Caenorhabditis elegans: one gene and its partner. The protein of the gene in region 2 interacts with the protein of the main gene of each other region in a pairwise test. Each region holds a gene or a part of one and is shown on either strand. Other genes may lie near its edges.

The links. The genes of interacting proteins can lie anywhere in the genome.
Region 1: the proteins of gex-3 (region 2) and meg-3 interact in a two-hybrid assay, tested with the Caenorhabditis elegans proteins (one large-scale study listed by BioGRID).

Annotation. Positions count from the first base shown.
Region 1 is NC_003284.9:1,984,367-1,995,449, forward strand, and holds meg-3 (uncharacterized protein), read right to left. Parts: upstream 5,242-11,083; 5' UTR 5,240-5,241; coding exon 5,182-5,239; intron 5,137-5,181; coding exon 3,615-5,136; intron 3,569-3,614; coding exon 3,458-3,568; intron 3,412-3,457; coding exon 3,265-3,411; intron 3,217-3,264; coding exon 3,082-3,216; intron 2,951-3,081; coding exon 2,661-2,950; intron 2,613-2,660; coding exon 2,287-2,612; 3' UTR 2,103-2,286; downstream 1-2,102. Other genes in the region: Y40A1A.2 (F-box domain-containing protein), read left to right, coding at 6,368-6,451, 6,504-6,580, 6,627-6,681.
Region 2 is NC_003282.8:12,399,496-12,410,578, reverse strand, and holds gex-3 (Membrane-associated protein gex-3), read right to left. Parts: upstream 6,149-11,083; 5' UTR 6,145-6,148; coding exon 6,033-6,144; intron 5,983-6,032; coding exon 5,882-5,982; intron 5,836-5,881; coding exon 5,686-5,835; intron 5,616-5,685; coding exon 5,244-5,615; intron 5,195-5,243; coding exon 5,146-5,194; intron 5,090-5,145; coding exon 4,876-5,089; intron 4,824-4,875; coding exon 4,514-4,823; intron 4,464-4,513; coding exon 3,722-4,463; intron 3,664-3,721; coding exon 3,439-3,663; intron 3,388-3,438; coding exon 2,566-3,387; intron 2,517-2,565; coding exon 2,404-2,516; intron 2,355-2,403; coding exon 2,139-2,354; 3' UTR 1,889-2,138; downstream 1-1,888. Other genes in the region: acl-13 (Phospholipid/glycerol acyltransferase domain-containing protein), read right to left, coding at 9-75; dsb-1 (Double-Strand Break factor), read right to left, coding at 237-329, 388-705, 756-1,138, 1,187-1,353, 1,403-1,521, 1,567-1,644. UniProt on the Caenorhabditis elegans protein: Rac effector required for tissue morphogenesis, cell migrations and egg laying. May play a role in egg laying and in yolk protein clatherin-mediated endocytosis by oocytes during oogenesis.

The DNA.
Region 1 (11,083 bases), on a different chromosome or scaffold from region 2:
CACAAACACTGGAGACGATTGAGTTGTGCCGTTTTGGCTCACTGGATCAATTTGAACGGATAATTTATTTGGATCAGTGGAGAAATGCGAAGACCTTCAAATTTGAAAATTCCTATTTTTGCAGTAAGTTACTGGTTCATTTGTTTCATTTTCAATGTTTTTATATCAACGAAATGCTCGACTTTACAACACAAGTTGCAGTTAAAATTAGAGATGTATGTTTTACATGTTATATTTCGTTTAATTATTTATTGGCTTTACAGGATCTCATGAGAAGAAGTACATTTCAATGTTGTCAGATTTATTTCGAAAAATCTGACTCAATGGAGCTTGCAAAAGTATTCAAACCGGACTATACTGGCGGAATTGAATTCAACATCGAATTTTCTGATGATAACTTAAATTTCTTGGTTACTTGTTCACGTTTGCATTTTGATAGTTTTATTTTCTCTGTGAAAAGATTATGAAACTTCAAAAATTTTGTCTCCGAGTTCGGACTTGTGTGAAGACACAAATTTCAACTAAAATAACAGTCGAATTAATTTTATTAGGTTGCTGGTTATTTTTAATCTTGAAAAAAAACATTTAGAGAAAAAAAGTAAAGAAGTATGGAGGTAAAACTCCCCGAGCTTACAACAAACGAAGAAATAGCAAGGAATAACAACAGGTGCTCTCCAGTGTTTGTTCTCAGTGTTTGTCAGTTGGTGTGGTTGCAAGTAATTTCGAGAAGATCTTTGGTCAAAATTTGTGAGATTTCAAATTGAGTGCTACTTCTTGCATTAGAGTTAGGAATATATTTTGAAATCGTGTTCTTTTTTGTAGTGAAAATTGAGTTTTCACAGCACAACTGAAACTAATAGTTTAATGCTCGTATGTACAAGATCTGATTGTGAAAATTGTCAACCTGGAGTATGCTTTTCAACTATTTGTTTGCTACCAGATGTTTCACATGATTTTTTACTTTACAGGGTGGACCATAATTATGCGCACTCGTTTCTAGCCTATTTACTGTAGTTTTTTACGCGACTGCCACGTCATGTCTCAAATTTTTTAATTTATTCTGGTTGCCGGGATGATTATCTTCCATTTGACATAAAATTTAATATGTTTCTCAACAAGATGCACTCTCCACAACCACGACAATCTGAAGCACCCCTCTACCAAAGTGGTGTTTTGGCGGAGAGCCTGTACCACCGGCCAATATTCCAAAAAATTTTGATTTTCAGCATTAATATGAAGTTTAAGTAGCTGTGAACCAGTTACGTATGTTTTGAATCAGCAAAAGTGGTTATGCGCCAACACTGATGGATATAATGATGGATAATAGTGTGTGTTTTAAAGACCGTCCCATTAGTTCGCATCACTTTTTTCTGTTCCACGAGACACACCGATCCGCAAAATCATCTATGAGCAAATTCGTAAGAAAATATGAAACCTTGGGTAAAAATAATAACTAAAAACACAAATATGATTTTCTTAGCATGTCAGTGCTTCCGCGCACAAGCTTCGTTTAGGCCTTGACTGAATTTCACAGTACTCGATACTCAATCAGCTGCCACTGTCACCTAACAATATCAATCTTTTAGATTTTTTGTGTGAAGCATCTCTGAATCAAGAGCATTCTTTGAACTTTAAATTTTACTTGATAACTAATGAGTCCTCCGAGAAAAACATGAAAAACCCTGAAGCGTGCCTACTTGTCCGCCATCGTTGGTGCGTTTCCGAAACTTGTGAAGGCCTGTAGCAATGCGGACGGTGATATTTTCGAATTCAAAAATGGTATCTTATTTAGTTTTTCTCGGAGAACAAAACCTATATGATTATTTGTTTAATGTGTTTTTTGTTTTGGTTTTATGAAGCTTCAAAGTAGTGCGCATAATTATGGCCCACCCTGTATTAAAAAACGGAACTTTTCCAAACAAATCTGAAGCATCTGTTTTAAAATTGAATCCGTGACTACTATTTTGCCTAATGACAGTATTTAAATTTCACAAAAAAGATCTATGAGAAGATATGTATATTTTCAAATCAGTTACCAATCATCTTTTCTTAAATCTATTTCGAACTTTTCTTTTATTCTAGTTCCACTCCAAATCTTAAAGAATCGGCAATTCTTTATCAATCATCCAGACAACAATATAATACTACCCTCTACAAGTATCTGGGTAGACATAATACAAATTCACAAGGAGAAGCGAGTTGAAATATAACAAGAGTGGATAAAGGGTTAATGAACAAGAATAACATACAATATAGTCTACAAGTAATAGATATAAATTGGTACAATCATTGATCTCTGGGTGGGTCAAAAATAGATTCCAGCCAATCCCGTTTTACATTCAAGTATTTGATAGGATCCGATTTCCGAAGATGTGCAAGTAAACACGCATCAGCAATTGCGATGATATTCTTCTGTCCGATACACTCCTTCCACAACATGTAGAGCATATTGGTGGAGTCTGTGGAGCTGCTCGTATCGTCCAGCCGAGCCTGAACAAACGTGGCAGCAATCTCTTGCATAACTGCAAGCTGGTGAGGATTTCCTAAGCAGGCTTCAGCAAAACGGAGGAACCATTTTCTGAACATATTTCGCACAGGTGGAACTCTTGGATCTGAAAAAATTAAAGTTTTCAAGATTAAATATGTCTTATCTTTCTTACCATCGGCATAAGGACCATCCAATCTTGGAATTGTCTCGGTGCAAAAATAATTCAAGTACAGCCATCTTTCAGGTGACATCCCGTGAATATTCAAATTCACTTTCAGGAGTTGTGTCTTTTCTTTGTAGTTAGTATCAATGTAGTCGTTAAAGTCTTGCTGAGCTTCCAGGAATGCTGTCAAGCTTTCAGAAATGCGAGGTGGTGGCGAGGTTGAAGCTGGATCTTGAGTGCAATCTTGAGAAGGATATTCGATCCGATCGGCTGATTCACAAGGAAGTGGAGCCGGATCACTGAAAGAAATTTACTGTACTCAGAAAATAATTTTACAGGATTTGAATCAAGTTTTGAGCTCAATCTTTTCAGCTTGTACATTATTTTCCATATGCTTGATCGATAGCGGATTTATTAACTTGGACCTTACCTGGTGATTTCGAAGGGCCATTTCCCAGCTTGATTGTATACTTCAGCTGCACGAATTTCACAATTGATTCCACTTCTCTTCGGAGTTGGGCAACCATTACAATCCGTGGAAACTGGAATTCCGGTAATGTAAGAGCTGGAAAAGAAAATATGGAAATGTTGTTCGTTTTTTGTAAAGTCATACCTTTCCAGCGCCACAACCTTTGGAGTCAACTTTTGAGCAATTCGCTTTCCTGAAGCTGTTTCTTTTCCAGAAACTGTGACGGAATACATTGGTGATTTTGTAGCTTTAGAATCAACCACGCCAAGTGACTTGTTCAACTTTGAAGACCTGTAAAAAATATAATGAAATAAGAAGCTCCAAGTGTAAAACTAACTTGCTGGATGATGTCAGACATCTTTCTCCGATCAAAGCCTTTGGAGTTGGGATGATTGACGAGGAAGGTGTTCTCTTTACATCCACATTGTTCCGATTGATCTGATCCTTGCTGAAATTTAAATTTTTACTAAAGATTTTACTATTTCACTACATACCTTGAGGAAGCACGATTTGCAGATTTCGGCATCTCAGGGTCCCCATGAAGTAAACGTCTCATTTCCTCAACGTTGGCATCAAAAGTTCCTGTCCACTTTCTTCTTGAGATCTTTGGAGGAGAACTCGGCTGTGGACTTGGCGTGGGTTCCTCGTCTTCTTCAACAGTTTCCAGTGTCACATCAAGACTGGCCAGACGGGAGGCACTACGAGAACTTCCACGGCGCTTGATCGACAGTGAAGTTTTCTTGGGAAGACTCACTGGTAGGGTTTGGTTGTTAGCATCCACAAAACTGGAGTCAAAGTCTTCACCAATTGAGCAATTTAGATCACTTGCTGGTAATGTCCGATTCAAATTGCTGCATTCTCCATGAGAGCTGGAAGGCAAGTGAATCTGTTGTCCGATCTTCATGCTGACAATTTCCAATAACTGTTCAATGGAGAGTTCAGTGCCGTCCTTGCTGAATACATTGGATACCAGGTTACGTTTAGCCGCTTCTTCAGAAGATTTGCATTTTTCAGTCAATTGTTTACTGCCTGCATTCTGCTTTGAATAAGTCGATTGTTGAAGTTTCTTAGTGACTGATCGAGATCTCCGACCACGGGCAGCATCCATGGAATCGTCTATGAACACATCGTCAGTTAATTCATCGTCATTTGTGTTGAAGTAAGTACGATCCTGGAAGTTGCTGCTACCACGTGATTTTTTTCTGTCGTTTCTTGATTTCTGTTGTTGATTTTTCATCGATGAGGTTTCATGTGTAGGAAATCCAGAGAAGCTCTGGTTCAAATTCCGCGACTTAATAGCATCGTGCTTTTGGACAAGACTAGAATTGATAACCTCCTTTCCAGATGCATTTTTATTGTCCTTATGGCCTTTTTTAAAAGCGTGTCCATGAACTCCAGCTTGAGCGTTGAAGCTTTTATTTCCAAGACATTGCTGGTGAACATTGGTTTGTCGCAGTTTCTTAGAATTATTTTCTTGCTTCTGGAACCCAACGGGAACGGAACTCACACTGAATGACTTATTCCCAGCGTGACCATAATTGTTCGAACCATCCGAGAAGCTTAGGCCATGTTGTCCATTCTGACGACTTCTACTACGTCTTGTGTTTGATTGCTGAACGTCGTCCTGATCTGTGGATACTGGGAATCTTCGTTCATACCAGCTGGAGCTATTGCGTGTTTGCAAGTTGCGGCGGAAGTCTGCAGAGAAGACGGGGGCCGTAGGAGGAATACTGTTAAAGGCGTTGCTGCCGTTTCCTTGAGCTGCATGCATCGACTGATTGAATACTCGACCATGTCGAGTCATCGAGTGATTCAGCTGTTGGCCATTCATGAATGTATTCCCGTTGAATGATACGGATCCGTGATGAGATATCCCCGATTTTGCACCATATTCACGGCTTGTTGACTGAGCACTGTCTTGTTTTGCGATCGGATTGAACAATTCGTCAAGAGTGATTTGGTGTTCCATGTTGTTGGATGCACTTTCCTGATTGCTACGACTACTTGAGCGGCGACCTGAATTTACAAATTGAATGAAAAATTGATGCAAAAAACTCTCACCTCCTCTTTTTCTTCTCGAGTTTGGCAGACCGCTTGGGTAAGGTTTTGAGGAACTCATACCTGCAAAAATCAAAACTTAATGAAATATTGAAATAAATGAAATTTAAAAAAATACAACGAAAAAGAAAGACAGAGATGAAAAAATGCAAACCGGTGGGACCACGCAACAAGAATGAACACTTGAGTTAGGGAGATTGAGAGAGTGTGAGAGGTAGAGAAAGAGCGCGCGGAAATAGTGTGTGGCGAGACGGACAGGGGCGATGCGTGCGCGCGGTGAAAAAATAGTTCAAATGCGGCAGGGAATCAACAAAACAACACACACCGTTTGCATGGTATCGATCAGTTTTCAAGACTATCCAAGACTATGGAGTTTTGAGGAACAATTGGATTGATAGTTAATTCTCTAAAATATTGGATAATCACTGAATAATAAATGAGAAGAATAAATTTATAAAAAGAAACAGGATAATAGGCAGTAAAGGAGATGTTAATTAGAAAACCTGTAAGCGAAAAATCAAAACTAAAATAATTTTTTATCTCAAACTTTTTAAAAGAAACGGCGGAACATAATCCTGAATTCCTGAAAACGAGATGTAAAGGGTCGTTAAAATAGCTCCAAAAACGGATTTGTGCAGAGTTTTGAAATTTTTTAAAATTATTTTAATATAGGAATACTAAGTACCTGGAAAGTAATAAAAACTGCTTTATATAGAACATTGAAATCTTTTGTTTTTTAACATAAATTTTAAAAAATGTTTGGATATCCCAAACTAATAAGGATTCTTAACATTATTAATTCATAAAAATATGAAAAAATGTCTATTCAAAGGATTTTTTTTGATCGAAGACTTCTAAAAAGTTACAAAAACTGAGAATCTTCAAGTAGAAATTTGGTATTCCTTGGGACTTCAGATTATTCATATTTTATTTTTCAAATTATTCTCGATGGTTTTTTAATTTAAAAAACAACTCATCGACATTGATGCTTTCAAACAGGATAGATCTAATGTTACTAATTTCCTGCTACTATAGCTACTGCTACATTGTGCACAATGTATGATGTCACACACTTGGAGGATTTATAACCACTTTCTATGTATCGATTATACCATTTAGACGCTCGCCTGCTCCGTTAGTCTGCTCAGTGTTTTTTTTTTTCGATTACATATTTGAGTTACCATTTGGTATGAGCTCCTTTATTTCACAACTCTCCTCATTTATTTGTCTGAGATTTTTTAAACGTCGAGGTATCAGGACCCCGTCAAACAAGGCAAGAACATATGTATTTTACAGTTTTTCGTTTAATTTTATTGATTTTTTAGATTCAACCCTTTCACCTACTTGGTTTACCGTATCCTGCATTTCGGAATATTATACATCAATTGAAGTTGACTGAAGTGTGAGTTGAAGTAGGTTTTAATTATCTAAATGTCTATTGTTTTCAGAATAGAACTATCAAAAAATTCTGGTGAAACCAGATGTAGATTTAAAAAAAATTAATCGAAAAATCTACAAACTTCTTATCGACAACCGTGTTTTCCATGTTGATCTACCACCATTCCGAAATCCTAGTGATTTATTTTCAAGCAAAGTGATTGCTATAGAGACTTCAGAAGACATGTATTATCCTTTTAAGTCTGGTAAACTACTGACTTTAAGATATCCAAACCTTTTTTCAATCAGCATTACCAACTTTTGCATCTCTACGTTTTGGTAATTTTTTGATTTTTCTGCTAGTTTTTTCTCAAACATGTGTGATTTGTTTAGTCTGAATGACCTTAAACATTTGAAAACTTTCAAAAAGTTTTTACCTAACCATGTTTTAACATTTCACGGTAGTTCAAAAATTTTAGACCGGAGGGGTTGCTCAGTCGGTAGTGATGACCAGGCAGTGTACCTGACTCTCAGTTCCGCAGTGCATAGCACTTAAGTCGAGATCGTTTTTTAATCTTCAATTAATATAAACCCCAAGTAAATAAAACTCTACTGAAACAATTCTCATGCATCGCCATATAAAACTGTAATTTTTTCAGTGACTATTCGAAATTTAAAAAATTCAATACAATGAGCTACGACCAACCGAATCAGTTGATCGAAATTTTGAATTCTATTGACCAATTATTTTTTTGTTGAAAACCTCGATTTACTGATCAGCCATGAGAAGTTATTCGGCGATTATCGGCCAACACTAAGTCATCCAATGTTCAATAAATGCAAATGTGTGGAAATTTTTGGTGGTCCAAATGAAAATTTATCAACCAGTAATATGAACGAGTTGACGACAATGATTGAGTTGAAACAAAAACTTAACATTCAATGCTTTTTCGAAAATAAAGAGTTGGTAAGGAAGTTGCAAAAAATCCCAATTACTTATAATCATATTTCATTTCAGATCTACAATGTTCCTGAGATAGAATTTTACCACGCCAAAAATATCACACTACAAGATTTAAGATCAATGAATTGTGAAGTGATCAGATTATGTGTACATTCAATCAAAGAATTGGATCTAAACAACATAGTATTGTATTGGTTAAATGGAAAATTGCCGAACCTCCGAAGACTACGGTTGCACAGCAGAATGAGTCCCATTATGTATGAAAAAATCCTGAAAGGTATTAAAAACTATACATGGCATCCGAAACGTCGACCTAAAATCTATTGGTAAGTTATTTGATTTTTTTATTGTGCTTAATTTTTTACTACCACAAAATGGCGAACTTAGGGATTTCAGTCACACATAATTTGGCCTTTTTTCAAACATTTAATCCGGCTTGTAATTCCTTTAGTATTTCACAAAAATACTCCATGTAAAATTTCTGACATCTGGAAAAAAAGCTTTGTGATTTTTTAAAACAAATTTTTAAAGCAATTTTGTTTTCAATAGTCCATTTTCCATCTTTTAATACTGAATTGAAAAAGGTTTTGCAAAGCAATGGGATATGAAAATATATCCAGACTACTACCTAATAAATACCACACGTCGTATTCAATTTTCAGCAATGAAATCGAACGATTAGACTGTGAAAGTGGAAGAGATATCGTGAGCAACAACGGAACAGTAGCAACACTCCTGCTGTTCAATCGCTCTTTTGATTTTATTGTTTGGAAAAACTGAAGTATATATAAAAACAATATCTGTGTCGTAGATTTGACCTAAAATCTTTTTCATTTCGGTGATGTTAATTATAGCTACTACACAATTACCTAACAAGCTTAACGCCTCAAAATAGTACATCAAAATGACATCCAAAATTTGTAGCAATCACAGTCCCCCTCTCCCTCATATCCTGCCCCACTCCCCTCCTCAAACTCCGTTTTTAATGTACCAATTTTTTTTAAACCTTGATGAAAATTTTTTGTTTTAATACTAAAAATTGTTAAATAAATTATGGATGGAAAAAATTAACTTTTTGACAATTTTTAGCTATTGTACAATCGTTCCGAGACACACATGATTCAGAAAAAGCAGTTTTAACTTACCGCCCATTTTTTAAAAATCATTTTGTTTAATAATTTTCTGTGGCATTATTCATAGAACTTTTGTAGATTCTGCATATTTTTCAAACTTTCACTGAAGTCTTTTTGAAACATGATCAATCCGGATGGCCAATTGGAAAGGTCACTCTACTCGTATATATACAAAACTTACAAAACGCACCAGAAACTCAACAGAAAAACATCTAATGAGATTGAAATGATAAACTCGCGACGTGAATAGTCAACTTTAACAGAATTTATTAAAAAAGTTGCAAACTCTTCTTTTCAAACATTTATTTATGATTAATTCACTTTCTCTGGTTCAATAGTTACAGTGTTTCTGCGCGAAGCATTACACGCCACGCCTGGTGGCCTTTGACCTTTCGATACTTAATTGCTAATTGGTCGCCGTGTTAAAATGGGCCTGTGGTGTAGTGGTTAACACACTGGTCTTGTGAGTCGGATTTCATCTCCCGGCTTCAAGTTCAAAGCCAGAGACGTCGGTTCGAATCCTTCCGGGTCCAATTTTTGTTTTGTTTTTTTGTTTTGAAAAATAAACTTCTTAATACAAGCATTTATAACTATTTGGTGTATTGGTCAAGCTGTGTTCTGCACATAAGACCTGGGTTCGATCCCCCCAGAGTGCGATATTTTTTATTGTTTACTTGATGCCATTTTTCTTGATTTTCTTGATAGTCTTGATGATTTTTAAAAAGTTTTCGATAAGTTTTCAGCATATTCATGCTCTCATATTATGCTCAGAAGACTTGTGGTTCAAACTCATTTTAGTGCAAAACTATAATTTGCTAAATTCAGCTGCAATTTGAAATTTTGCCAATTATTCCACGTCGCAGTGGTCCAAAACTGATTTTTATTTGAAAGTTCTTAAAGTTTGCATTATTTTTTCCTTTTATCAAACGCGTCGTTTGAGATACACTTCTGGGTGCTTCGAACACAAAACTTACCGTGTTGCACCTAGGGGAGGCGAGACCTATGTATGTCGCATGTCAAAAATCATCAAGACTATTAAAAATGGCACCAAGTAAACAATAAAAAATATCGCACTCTGGGGGGATCGAACCCAGGTCTTATGTGCAGAACACAGCTTAACCAATACACCAAATAGTTCTAAATGCTTGTATTAAGAAGTTTATTTTTCAAAACAAAAAAAAACAAAACAAAAATTGGACCCGGAAGGATTCGAACCGACGTCTCTGGCTTTGAACTTGAAGCCGGGAGATGAAATCCGACTCACAAGACCAGTGTGTTAACCACTACACCACAGGCCCATTTTAACACCGCGACCAATAAGCAATTAAGTATCGAAAGGTCAAAGCTCATCAGGGTGGCGCATAATGCGTCTGCGCCGAATCGCGGTAACTTTCGAACCTAAATTCTTCTAACCATAATATGTGCGCATAAAAATGCTGAAAACTCATCGAAAATTGAGAAAAAGCCATAATGACCATGGAACAATTGGCAAAATTCCAAATTGCAGCTGAATTTAGCAAATTATAGTTTTTCACTAAAATGAGCTTGAATCACAAGTCTTCTGAGCATGATAGGAAAACATGAAACTGCTGAAAACTCATCGAAAACTTTTTAAAAATCATCAAGGCGTGAATTAATCATAAATAAGTGTTTGAAAAGAAAAGTTTGCAACTTTTTTAATAAATTCTGTTAAAGTTGACTATTCACGTCGCGAGTTTATCATTTCAATCTCATTAGATGTTTTTCTGTTGAGTTTCTAGTGCGTTTTGTAAGTTTTGTATATATACGAGTAGAGTGACCTTTCCAATTGGCCATCCGGATTGATCATGTTTCAAAAAGACTTCAGTGAAAGTTTGAAAAATATGCAGAATCTACAAAAGTATTATGAATAATGCCACAGAAAATTATTAAACAAAATGATTTTTTAAAAATGGGCGGTAAGTTAAAATCACTGGTGTTGGTATGTCGCCATGGCAACGCGCCAGCGGCGTAGAATAGTGCAAGTTGTGCATTAAAAGAGTGCAATTAAAGTGGATAACCCATATATTTCTAGGAGCAGAATTTTGAGCTGAGTTTTGTTGCGCAAAAAAATTCAAAATTGTTTGCTGTTAAAAACCTGGGGCTTCAATCAAAAATATGAACAGTCATCGCGTTGCTGAAGTGGTAAAAAAGCTTCTGGGAATATATATGTAAAGCACAAAACTTGAAAGAAAAATATAAAAATTGATAAAACTCCAGCGCAGTTCGGTTTTTTTTTCAAGCAGTTTAAAATTAAAATTCATATTGGTAGAGATTCTTTTGGCATTTCCTAACATACAGGGTGGTCCATAATTATGGGCCACCCTGTACACTGCTTGGTGGTAAACGTTTATCAATTGCTACTATTCTCAAATCTGGAATAATTTTTTTTCGTCAAATATCCAGTCATCAA
Region 2 (11,083 bases):
AAACTTACAAATACACGAGATAACATTGTCGATTAGAGTCCATCCCTGCTTTTTATTGTCATTTTCGGCTTCCATTATTCGACATGAGTGTTTTTTTCGAAATTCTAGTAAAATTATTCCAACTTTTATTAGCAATAAAAAGAACAATAAAATGTCACGTGAGAAAATGAAATTTAGAAATATTTTGCATTGAACATGATATGATGATACAGAAGATCGTGCAGAAGGTGATTCGCCTAAAATTCCATATCAGAAGTTTGTTGGACGATAGCTGGGGGACCGATTTTTGATGACGAGCTGGGAGCAGTGCGTTGGTGATCCTTGACTTTCTGTAAATTATGTTTTGAAGTCGGTCAATTTTATTATTATTTAACAAATGAAACTTACTTTGTAAAATGCATCAAATTCGTCATTTGGAAGTTTTCGAATTTCAGATCGCATCATTCCAACCAATCTCGCCATTTTTGAATCACTCATAACTCTCTTTATGTATCTCCTCAGGAAAGCAGGATCGTCGAAACGTTCATCAACATATTGTTTATCTGTTTGAACGCATTTGTCCGCAGTTTGCTTGATTTGAGGAGCCACAGTCACCGGATTGAGTTGATCTATCTGGATATCATTGGCAGAGGGTGGGCTGTGAAAATCCGGAAATGAAGGTGCGTTTGCGGGACTGGAGGACAATTGAGAAGAGTGTGATGAACTCTGAAAATTAATTTAATAGGGTGGGATATTCCAGTTAATTTTCAATTTACCTGCGAAAATCCGGAAAATGACGAACTGTGCGATGGGCTGGGACACGGAAATTGCAAAGAATGGTTCGAATTTGGCGAAAATCCAGAAAATGGTGAATCATCGTGGAGAACGCTGTAAGCCGAGCCAATCGATGAACTAACAGTGCTGGCACTCGACGCTGGCCTATTGTAAGGATTGTAGACTGGCTGTGAGAAGAATTCATTTGCTGTGAGTGCTGGCATCCGGGAACTTTCACCAATGTTGGTGGAATACGTATGTGATAAGTTTCTTGCCGCGGATTTCTTCACCGAGCCACCAATATCAATATCGCATGGTTGGGAGAAGGATGTCGGCTGTGATGACGATCCTCCCTTCCGTTTCTCGACACTGTTGTACCACACATCTATAATTCAAAAATGAAACTTGAAACTATTAAAAGAATAAAGAATACCGGTATTTGTGGATGAGCGATTCAAATGATCCTTAACTGGAGTCTCCGAAATATAAGCAAATTTTCTGACAGTTGACAGAAAATTCTCCCGATCTTCGCCACGAAGAGTTAATCGGAAACCTTGAGCCTGGTTGTTTACAATCACGAACAAATTTGTGTTCTTCATTCTGAAAACCGGGCAATTTGACTTTAATTTCTCAAACAACAAAGACTCACTTCAAACTCGGATACCTAGAAACTTCCATGTTACAATAAACGGTCTCGATCGGCTCGACTCCATGAATAACCGTCAGCTTCCTGCTATTCACCTCCATAACAACGCGAATATCTTTGCCCTGCAAATTTAACTTTTCGATACAGAATTCATCTATTTTTAAAACCTCTTGTCGATTACCGCTTCCTCTCAATTGCTTATACTTTATGATCGGCCACTGGAGTGTCTGCAATTCAGGAAACATACTGAAGAGACTGCAAAAACATAAATAATTTTTTTTTACTAAAAATGTCTAAAAATTTCGACCTCATTGGACCTCAAAATGTGAAAAAATTCAAAATTGCATGCCGGTCGTGGCGAGACCCATCCATCACTTTTACGCGCGAATTCAAATTCAAATTACCAAGCATATCTAATTTAGCTAATTCTCGTTTTTTTAACTTAAAATTTAATCGCATTTATGTAATAGATAAAATAAAAATTTTTGATAAATTGATAAAAAGTTTATTATGACGACAAACTGCAATAAATTAAAGCCAAATGGAAGGCAAAATGAGTACTTGGGAGCAATGATTCACACGAAAATGCAGGGAATAATAGTCAAAAAGGCGGTATTCGGAAGCGGGAACCCGTATAGTAATGGTTCGTTGAAGAAAGAAAAATAAAATAAATAAAATACAGGCACAGGAAGTATGTGAGAAGGGATCGTAGCTGTACATATTGGGATCGCAGATAAAATTATTGAGCATCAGCCTCGTAGCATTGTTGGTAGGCTGTACGGACGAGATTATATGGGAAACAGGTTTCAAGAACATCCATCGACAGCCAACGGTTTTTCCGAACCATCTGTTCAAGGATAATGTAGAGAGTTGTGTGGGAACGAAGAACGTCGTCGGATATTTGTCGACTGTTATCACGTTCATGAATAGTTCGTAGAATACCCGAGGACGCGAGCTGAAAATTTTTCTAGGTGAGAATATGTGTTAATAATGATAGAGCTAACCGCCAAGAACTCCTTCATCCTCGACTGGATATCATTTTGCTCGTGGAGATGGAAAAGAGCTGATCCGATAGTGTTAATCGCCATTGGAACACAGTGACTATTGTTCAAGCTGGCTGAAATTGTTTATTTTTAATTTTTGCAAAAAGCTGTAAAAGTATGTACCTTGAATGCTAGGCTTGTAAGACGAAAGATCCGACATTCCAATTCGTGGAATACAGATAGCGACGGCAACCATCAATAGACAACTATTAACATAGTGTTCTTGAGGGTGAATATTCGGATTTTGAGCACGAACCGCATTCACCAACGACATATCAACTGGTCCTGTGACTCCCATCGCAGCTGACATTTCTCCAATTTTAACTTTATCAACATCGTCCAAATTGTGATAAAGCATATCAAATGATGCTTGAAGAAATGGCAATTTAGATTCGACGATATGACGAAGAGCATCGTGGAGAGCATCACGAAACAGACAAATCTGTCCGATAATAATAGTTCTTTGCAGAATTGCATCAGCTGCGCATGTTGCGTTCGGAGTTTTCTTGTCCTTTGGTTCGACGCTCAAAAGATTTAAAACATCCTTCATCTTTTCAGCATTATCGAAATTAGATCTAGCAATCTGTAGAGCATCTTTGTATGTTGCAACAATCTTGCTCATCTCCATAATTTGACTGGCCACGTGCCAAATCAGCCGTTCAGTCATCAACTTTACTCCATAAGGTCCGATAATTTGAACCAATGCTCTCAATTCTTGAGGATCTGAATAATGATCGGGCATGAACGAGAGTTGTTCCTGTCCTGATGATAACATTGTTCGTAGATGCTCACTCCAAACCATATGACCAGATGAAGCACGACGGAGCAAAACTTCGAGATACCATTTCGTGTAGAGTGCTGCGATTGTGTCTTTATTCTTGGAATCAACGAGTTGAGTTTGTTGTAGAAGAGTTGTTTGCATTGTATTACTGATATCCACAGAAACTGAAATTCCATTTATGAGAATATTTATAGATTATTTTAAAAACCACTTACTTGCTGTATCAAGATTTTGAAGAACCGTCATGTAGGCTTGTAGCGCAAGGAGCATTTCACTTGGTCTTTTTGGATTACTTGCATGTGGTTGACCTTCCCAGAACATTCCATGAAGCAATTCTACAAATTTAGTTTCAAGGGACTGCGCTAGGTACGTCCTCGGTGCAAATGTGTGATCAGCAACGTAAATTTGACGATGAGCTCCGAGAGCTGCAGAGATTTCAACTGAAAAGTGGGAAATTTGTGATATAAAATCTAATTTAAAAAACGTTTTAAAACTTACGAAGAGTTGTTTGCAACTTATCAGGCATTGTTAATGCTTGACGATCAACTCGATAACTTTCTTCTCCAGCAATGAAATAATCTCGAGCGGCTGCTGCGGCCGCCGCTGCAGCTTTTCCAGATCCTTTCTGTTGAACAACTTGAGCAACAACTCTTACAGCCACGGCGCTCGGTGTCATTTGATAAGCTAATCCGAATTCATGTTCAGCCACTTTTTCCAGGATATATGACAATTGTTTGCACGTCTCTTCAATTACAGAATTGCATTGAGCCAAGGCTTTTTCAGTGATAAATGCTTTTTCTTCAGGACACATGTCATGGAGGGCGCTTGTGAAATGCGCGGCAAGACGTGCAAAACTGAGCACATATCGAGCTTGAGCAGGTAGCTGGAGACAGTTGAGCCAATGTTTTTCAGCGAGTTTTGGATAGAAGCAGTATAATGATAAATCACTTGTTTCCCTTAGCATCTCGTCTTGCAAATCGATCATTTTCAGATGAAAAACTGAAGTATTCATGTATATTGCGAGTTTTTTATGTCTTGAAAGTTGGAAATGGCTCCGAGCAGCAGATGTCCAAGCTTGAAATCTAAACCAGTCTAGTCGAAGAGCACGAAGATCCGTATCAGAGTTGATATTTCCTATTTCGTTGGCAAAATCGGTCAAAAGAACCGCTTCTTCCTGGGTGAGGCCATTTGCTTGGTTAATCTCTTCAGAAACAACAATTGAATCATAGCTAGACACGTACTGAAAATAAAAAAGATTTAAAATAGATAAATTTAAAGTTTTAACAAAACCTGTAGATAGTATCTTTGAATCACTGCATAATATTTCGTAACGAGATCTCTTAATTCCAGCATATAAAATAGCAGTTCTGGAAGTTGCCTGTCAACAAGCTCCTCGACCATTCTGCTGCCTTTTTTGCTGATAGCAGGAACTTCAACTTGATGCCGTAGAAGCCATATGACCTCATCTCTTCCTGCTCCAAGAGCCATCCAGACATAGAGAATTTTCGGGCCAAGTAGTCCGGGCTGATCTCGTAGTAAAAGTGACAGCTCTCGAAGAGAACTTCTAAGGAAGCGGCGACGGTCTGCGTGGACGGCAACTCTGAAATACAAATTATTAGAAAACGCTTTGTTTATCATATTTTTTAACTTACGCAGTAACAGATGCATGATTGAACGCATCTTTAACATCTTGTAACCGTTTGCTTTTTTCTTTGGAAGATTCTAAAAACGCTTGAATCTCTTGATGAACAATAAATGTTTCGTCTCGGAAAACGCGAAGACACAGATTCATTTGAAGTGCCAGCTGCCACATGTGCCTAATGTTGTCATCGTTAAGAAGAGTTGAATGGCATACTGTTCCGCAGACTGAAAATATTACAATTTTAATAAACATTTTAATACTAATTTGTATATTAACTTACACACAATCCATCGATCAATGACGTCGAGTGATAGATATTCGCATGCAATCTGAAACGATTTACATAAATAATTTTCCATTAAATAAAAACTTGCTCACAGTTTCTGTTTGAGCAGCATATAAAATTTGTGCTGGAGCAGCGGTCAACGAGAAAACATTTGATGTTCTCCATGAATCTGCTGTCTTGTTTCTGCGCTGATATGTGTGTGTAACAGAAGAAAGAGCTGAATAAATTAGCCTGTTCAGTGGTCCGAGATCTTCATGAAGCTTTTTTAACGGATTTTCATAATCAAGAATCATTTGTCCTAATCTTGGAAATGATGCTTCACTTTGTCCGTGTTGTAGATCATATGCCGCATTAAAAAGTCCAAGAACAGCTTTCCGGTCTTCAATTCTTGATAAAAGAATCATCATTGTGACGAGATGTACAACAAGATTCAAATAACTCGTTGTCAGGTCGTAATTGAGCGTCTAAAAAATAAAATTTTAGCTTAAACATTATACGAACGATATAAATATTTAAAATCAATAATATACTCACCACATCCAGCTGACATTGACATGATTCCATAGTTGTCAAAACTTGCATAATGTGATCTTTTAAATCAAGAATATCAGCAAATGTGTAGTAATATAGCGATAAAGATTTTGTAATTTCCGTGGACTTTTCTTGTACATATTCGAACGTCGACTGAAATTAATTTCGGCATGAGAAATCAACAATTTGAACTACTCACTGAATTCGATCTGCAATCAACAACAGGAAACTTTCTAACTATATGTTTGATTGCACCTTCCATCTTCTTGTCGCTAAGAAATTGTGGTTTCACTTTTGAATCTGAAATCTTCAGCATTTTATAACAACAGAAATTTTCAAAGACTACTCACCGCCGCTTGATTTCTTAATATTGTATATCCGTGTCATCATTCCAGCAGCACGATCATTCAGTATCACAAGTTTTTCAGCAATTTTCACCTGTCTGGCATCTTTGTAAGCCATTTTGCTGAAAATTGGAGAGAAAATTGAAGGGGAAATGAGTCACAAATTGGATTACAGTTTAAAGGCGCATTCAATTAAACAAGAGGTGTCTCTCACCACGGCTGTGCAAGCATGCTCTATTGCGCTCTTTTGTTGGCGGCAGTTTGAACGAGAGAGGGAGACCGTTATAAAAAATGTAGACCACGAAAAATCTAGACCACGAAAATATTTAAAAAAGCTATTTTCAGACAGATTTTCAGGTTTTTACAAAAGAAGTTTATTTAATGGGGAATAAACTTCTTGTTTTATTGCAATTTGTCACCGCAGAATATGATCTAGATCACCGTGAATGGCACTGACGAGGTTCAAGAACTGGAAAAACGAACAAAAAAAAATATTTGGAATGTTTGGAAAAAAAAAACATAAAATCAAACTGAAGAACTATTCACCAAATATGTTGCTTTTATGAACTTTCAAGCTTTTTGTGAACTTTTGTGTCGACTTTTCTTAAAAATCATATTTTTCCAAATTATTTCCCCACTTTATGTATAGTGATTGTTTAGTGAGAAGAACAAAAATTCCTTGTAAATCCCTAAATACAGACAGACAGTTTCACATCCAATTACGAAATATTTCATTTGATATTTCCAAATATTTCCAATTTATATCTCTTCGTCCCTCCGTGGCAGCTTAGTTCATCAAACCTTTCCACCGTCGATTCGAATCGGCTTTCTTATCAGGTCAAATGCTATAGATAGCTGGTCTCTCTCCCTCTCTCTCTCTCTATCTCTCTCTCTCTGATAGTCCGAAGAAATTCTCACATCGTTTACAATAGCGAACAACACCGAAATGGCTGTAGATGGAGGAGAAGAAGAAGAAGCATGAGACCAGCAAGGATCGGGAAACTGTGAAAGAGAGAAACGGGTTTGACGAAAGGCCGGACGGATGGTTAGCCTCTCTTTCTCTCCCTCTTTCCCGGGAGGCCTTCCTTTCATTCAAATGTTTCCATCGCTTTTCGTTGAATACTTCCACTCACTTTTGTTACTTCTACACATTTTTCTTCATTTCATATCTTTTTATGAAACTTTTTGGATTCAAAGTTTTCACTTGTTCGTTTCATTTAACTTGCAAAAAAAACAACTATCTTCATCTTAAATCTGTCAGAAAAGGTGCGAAGTCATCGCATTCATACAGCTTCTCCATCTTCTACAGCTCGCCTCATTCAATCTATTCACTGTGTCAAACGTGTTTCTAGTTTCCATATGTCTATACAACTTTTATCTCTTCCGTTCTCTGTAATACAATTATTTTCTGTTCTTTTGAATCGTTTTACACACATTGCGTAATACCGATCGAACAGTTTCTATCGGGTCCTGGCACGCGCGGAATTTTTCAACTACCGTACCTCTTTGATTGTTTCGTTAGTTGAAATGTTTCGATCGTGACAAGACTCAAGTTGGTGATTTTAAATTAAAATTCAAAGTTTTTGATTTAAGTATTTAATAGCATAAACTTTGACAATGCTGCACTGATTTTCCAAATTAGGCTCCGCCCATATCTTGGCTCTTTTGAAATTTTACATTGCATTTTCTCGTACTTTACTTCTACATAGTCTACGAACACAGAATAGATACCTAAAATAAACTCAAAAATTCCATACTTTTTGAAACTGTGCATGGCAAGCTTTTGACCTAAAAGCTTATATCTCATAGTCAGACATTTCAGATGCTATCCAGGATTCGTCAACTAATAAGATATTCATCTTAAAAGTTTCCAATTTTCTTAGTTCAAGACTTTTTGATAACTCTAAAGTCTTACTAGATATAAATATAATTCTAAAACTTTTGCAATTTTCTATATTTCGTTACAGCCCAAATATTCTCAAAACATAATTATTCCAAATGTTGACTTGTAATTTGATCTAAACAAAAGAACTTATTCAAATCCAAACATCAGTTTTTCGTGTTTCTTTGGCAAATAAATTTGCAAAACCCGGAAAGGGAAAGCAGTTCAGTTCCCACCTGGAACAGGTCTTTCATTGAAAGACCTGACTGAACATGTCTTTGAAATTCATAAACAAAATGATTTGGTGATAAAATAATGATGGCAAGCGGAAGGAGAAGATTCGAATGTGGTGGTGTTAATGCCTACAGGCATAGGTTTAGGCGGCCTGCGCCTATAGGTCTATAGGCGCACAGGCAGGCACCGATTATGTGTGTTGCAAATGTCCTCGTTTCTCGTTGTTGTGTCGAAGCTTTTAAATAAAATATTATACAGAAAAATAGATAAATACTTGTTCTTTTAAAAAAATTAAATTTCTTTTGTTTGAAAATTTCGATAAAATTGCTTAAAATTTCCTCAAAGTCGAAATGGTAGCATTACAACTTTGAGTAAGTTTTTGAGAAGAATCTTGAAACATTCAAATATAGGAATACAAAATTATTTTCAGAAAACACACATATTTTTCTGTATGTTATGTAAGTTTCCGCTTTGAAACTTTAAGAAAATAATTGGAAAAGCGGGAAGTGTGTCTTTTCTGGCAGACATCGCTTTGATTATAAATGGATCTTTGTTTTCTTAATATTAAATTTTGCAGCTTTATACTTTCACTTTCACCACCTTCTTATCATTTATTGTAAATGCCATATGCTATGCTTATACTCTAAAATCATCTTCCTTCTCTAAACAATCCAGTTTTTGTTTCATCTCATTTTCTTCTAATCATATCGAAAGTATCATTCGATCTATTTTTCTATTCTCCAACTGCTTCGAATCCTTTCCTTCTGAAAGGGAGACGCTTTTCCCATTGACCTACTAATTGTCTAAGCTCTCCTCAATCCACGTACTGTTTCATCCCTACGACGGAACGGTCGTTTGAGAATTCAAAAGTTATGAGAGGTTTATCCGCCTCATTTCATCGTTTTGTACTTTCTCGTAACTGGTTTCAAATGAGCTGGAAATAGGGGAACATTTATGGCAGTTGATTCAATATATGGTACCGAATGGTAGGCAAGCACTTGCCCACTTGCCTACCGCCTATTTCCGCATTTTGGCAAGAAATCTGGCTATGAGAGCACAGTGTAGATATACAAAATCACTCAGTACAATGCAACTGTTGAAAGTCCAATTTAAAACAATTGTCGTGGGCACTTAGGCAGCAGATACGCCTGTAGGCAGGCAGGAGGCAGGCATGATTCTCCTACGTAGATTAAGGACAACTAGAGAAAAAGTCGAAAGCACGCGGTAAATGTGAAAAAGATAAACAAGTTAGATAAGTGTTGCCAATTAAAACAAGGTTTTCTCAACTTTTCAAGTCAGCTGAACCACTTTGAAAATCGATTTGAAGACAAAGCGACAATTGGGTGAGTTAACTCATGAGTTTCTCATTTTTCTGAATCTCCGAAGGTTTCAGATGAACTCGTGCCTATATATTTATGATTTGGGTAAAAATTCGATGGCTAGTATTTCCATAATGCAGACCTTCTAATTTCAACCAGTGTTCTCACTTTTTTAAAAATAGCATCCCCACGTTCCATTTTTGTACTAATCAATACACTTAAAAAACAATGAGCTATCAAAGTAGATCAGAAAGTTCAACTCTTGCAGTAGGCACCAACCTTTGATGTAGATCTTTATTTCATTTTAAATTCTCATTCCATTCAACCTATTCAACTAAATCTCCTGCCAATTTTCTTCCGTTCTGCTCTCAATCCGTCACCAAATTTCCTTTCTCTTTCTTATTCCACACAGTTTTCTTTCTTGATTTCATTCTCAATTCTTTTAAAAAGTGGAGTGATGAGATTCTTTTGACACCTTGCCTCTTTTCACTTTTCACCCTACTGCCCTCATATGCAAATCGGTGTTGGTCCTTGTTTAATTCGGTCAGTTTTTAGGTGCGCTTAATCGTTTTGCAGTGTTAATACAGTAGGCAGACGTGCCTGCCTCACACCTATTTTTTGCATTCTTGATTAAATTTTACATGCAAAAAATTTGTTTAAAAAATCATACTTTATTTCACAAAATTCAGTGAAAATTTATTTTGTTTAGAAAATTGACCAAAAGTTTTTTTCTCCAAAAATAAAATCACTGAATTTTGAATATTTAACCAAACAGGTTTTAAGGTAGGCTTGCCTTGAAGACAGACATTTTTGCGACTACTTTGACAGTTTTCAAATTGACATTTCAGACAATTTTCATGGTTTTCAGATATAACGTTTTTTAAATCTTATCATTTGCTTATCAGTAGGGGGTTCTCCCAAGGTTATCAGCGAACATTATTGATAATCATGTTTTTTTTTTGATGATTAAAGTGAACTTTTCGATTACCTGATCATCACCGTATCTTAAACAGTTTCAAGTGCCTGTTTGTGTCACTGTTCAGGTGTCCAAATATTGCATATACGTCTGCCGTCTACAATTTTTTAATGTTTCGTTTTCACGCCAAGCTTGTCATGTGTAACGACTGCGCAACACGATCCCCCAGCCATCACTAGACGCTTATCCATTCGTGTAAACTCCACACGAAAGAAGAATATGTTGGCAAGACGATTTTTTTTTTCATAACACAATAATATTCTATGAACTTTTTTATTTTAGAATGCAATTAAGATTGTATTCCTGCAAATTTAATTTCAGTATCATAACTTTAAACTTTGAATAGGAGGCAGTGTAACAATATACTTGCACCAACTGCCCTAGTTTGACAACTTTTATCTTGGTTCTCTTTGGTTGTATTAAAGAATTTTCAACTAACAAAATACGTGTAAAATATTTTTCTATATTTTGGCTCTTGAACATTTTTTGATAAATGTACACACAGCCCAGATATAAGCCGTCAAAGTACTGCCAAAATTTAGCAATCGATCCTTAAACGGCGTTTTTCGGCAGAGAAGGACGGGGCTGTGAGCTTTTTCGCTGATTCTTTTTGCATTTAGCATTCGAAATATTCATCAATGTCCCA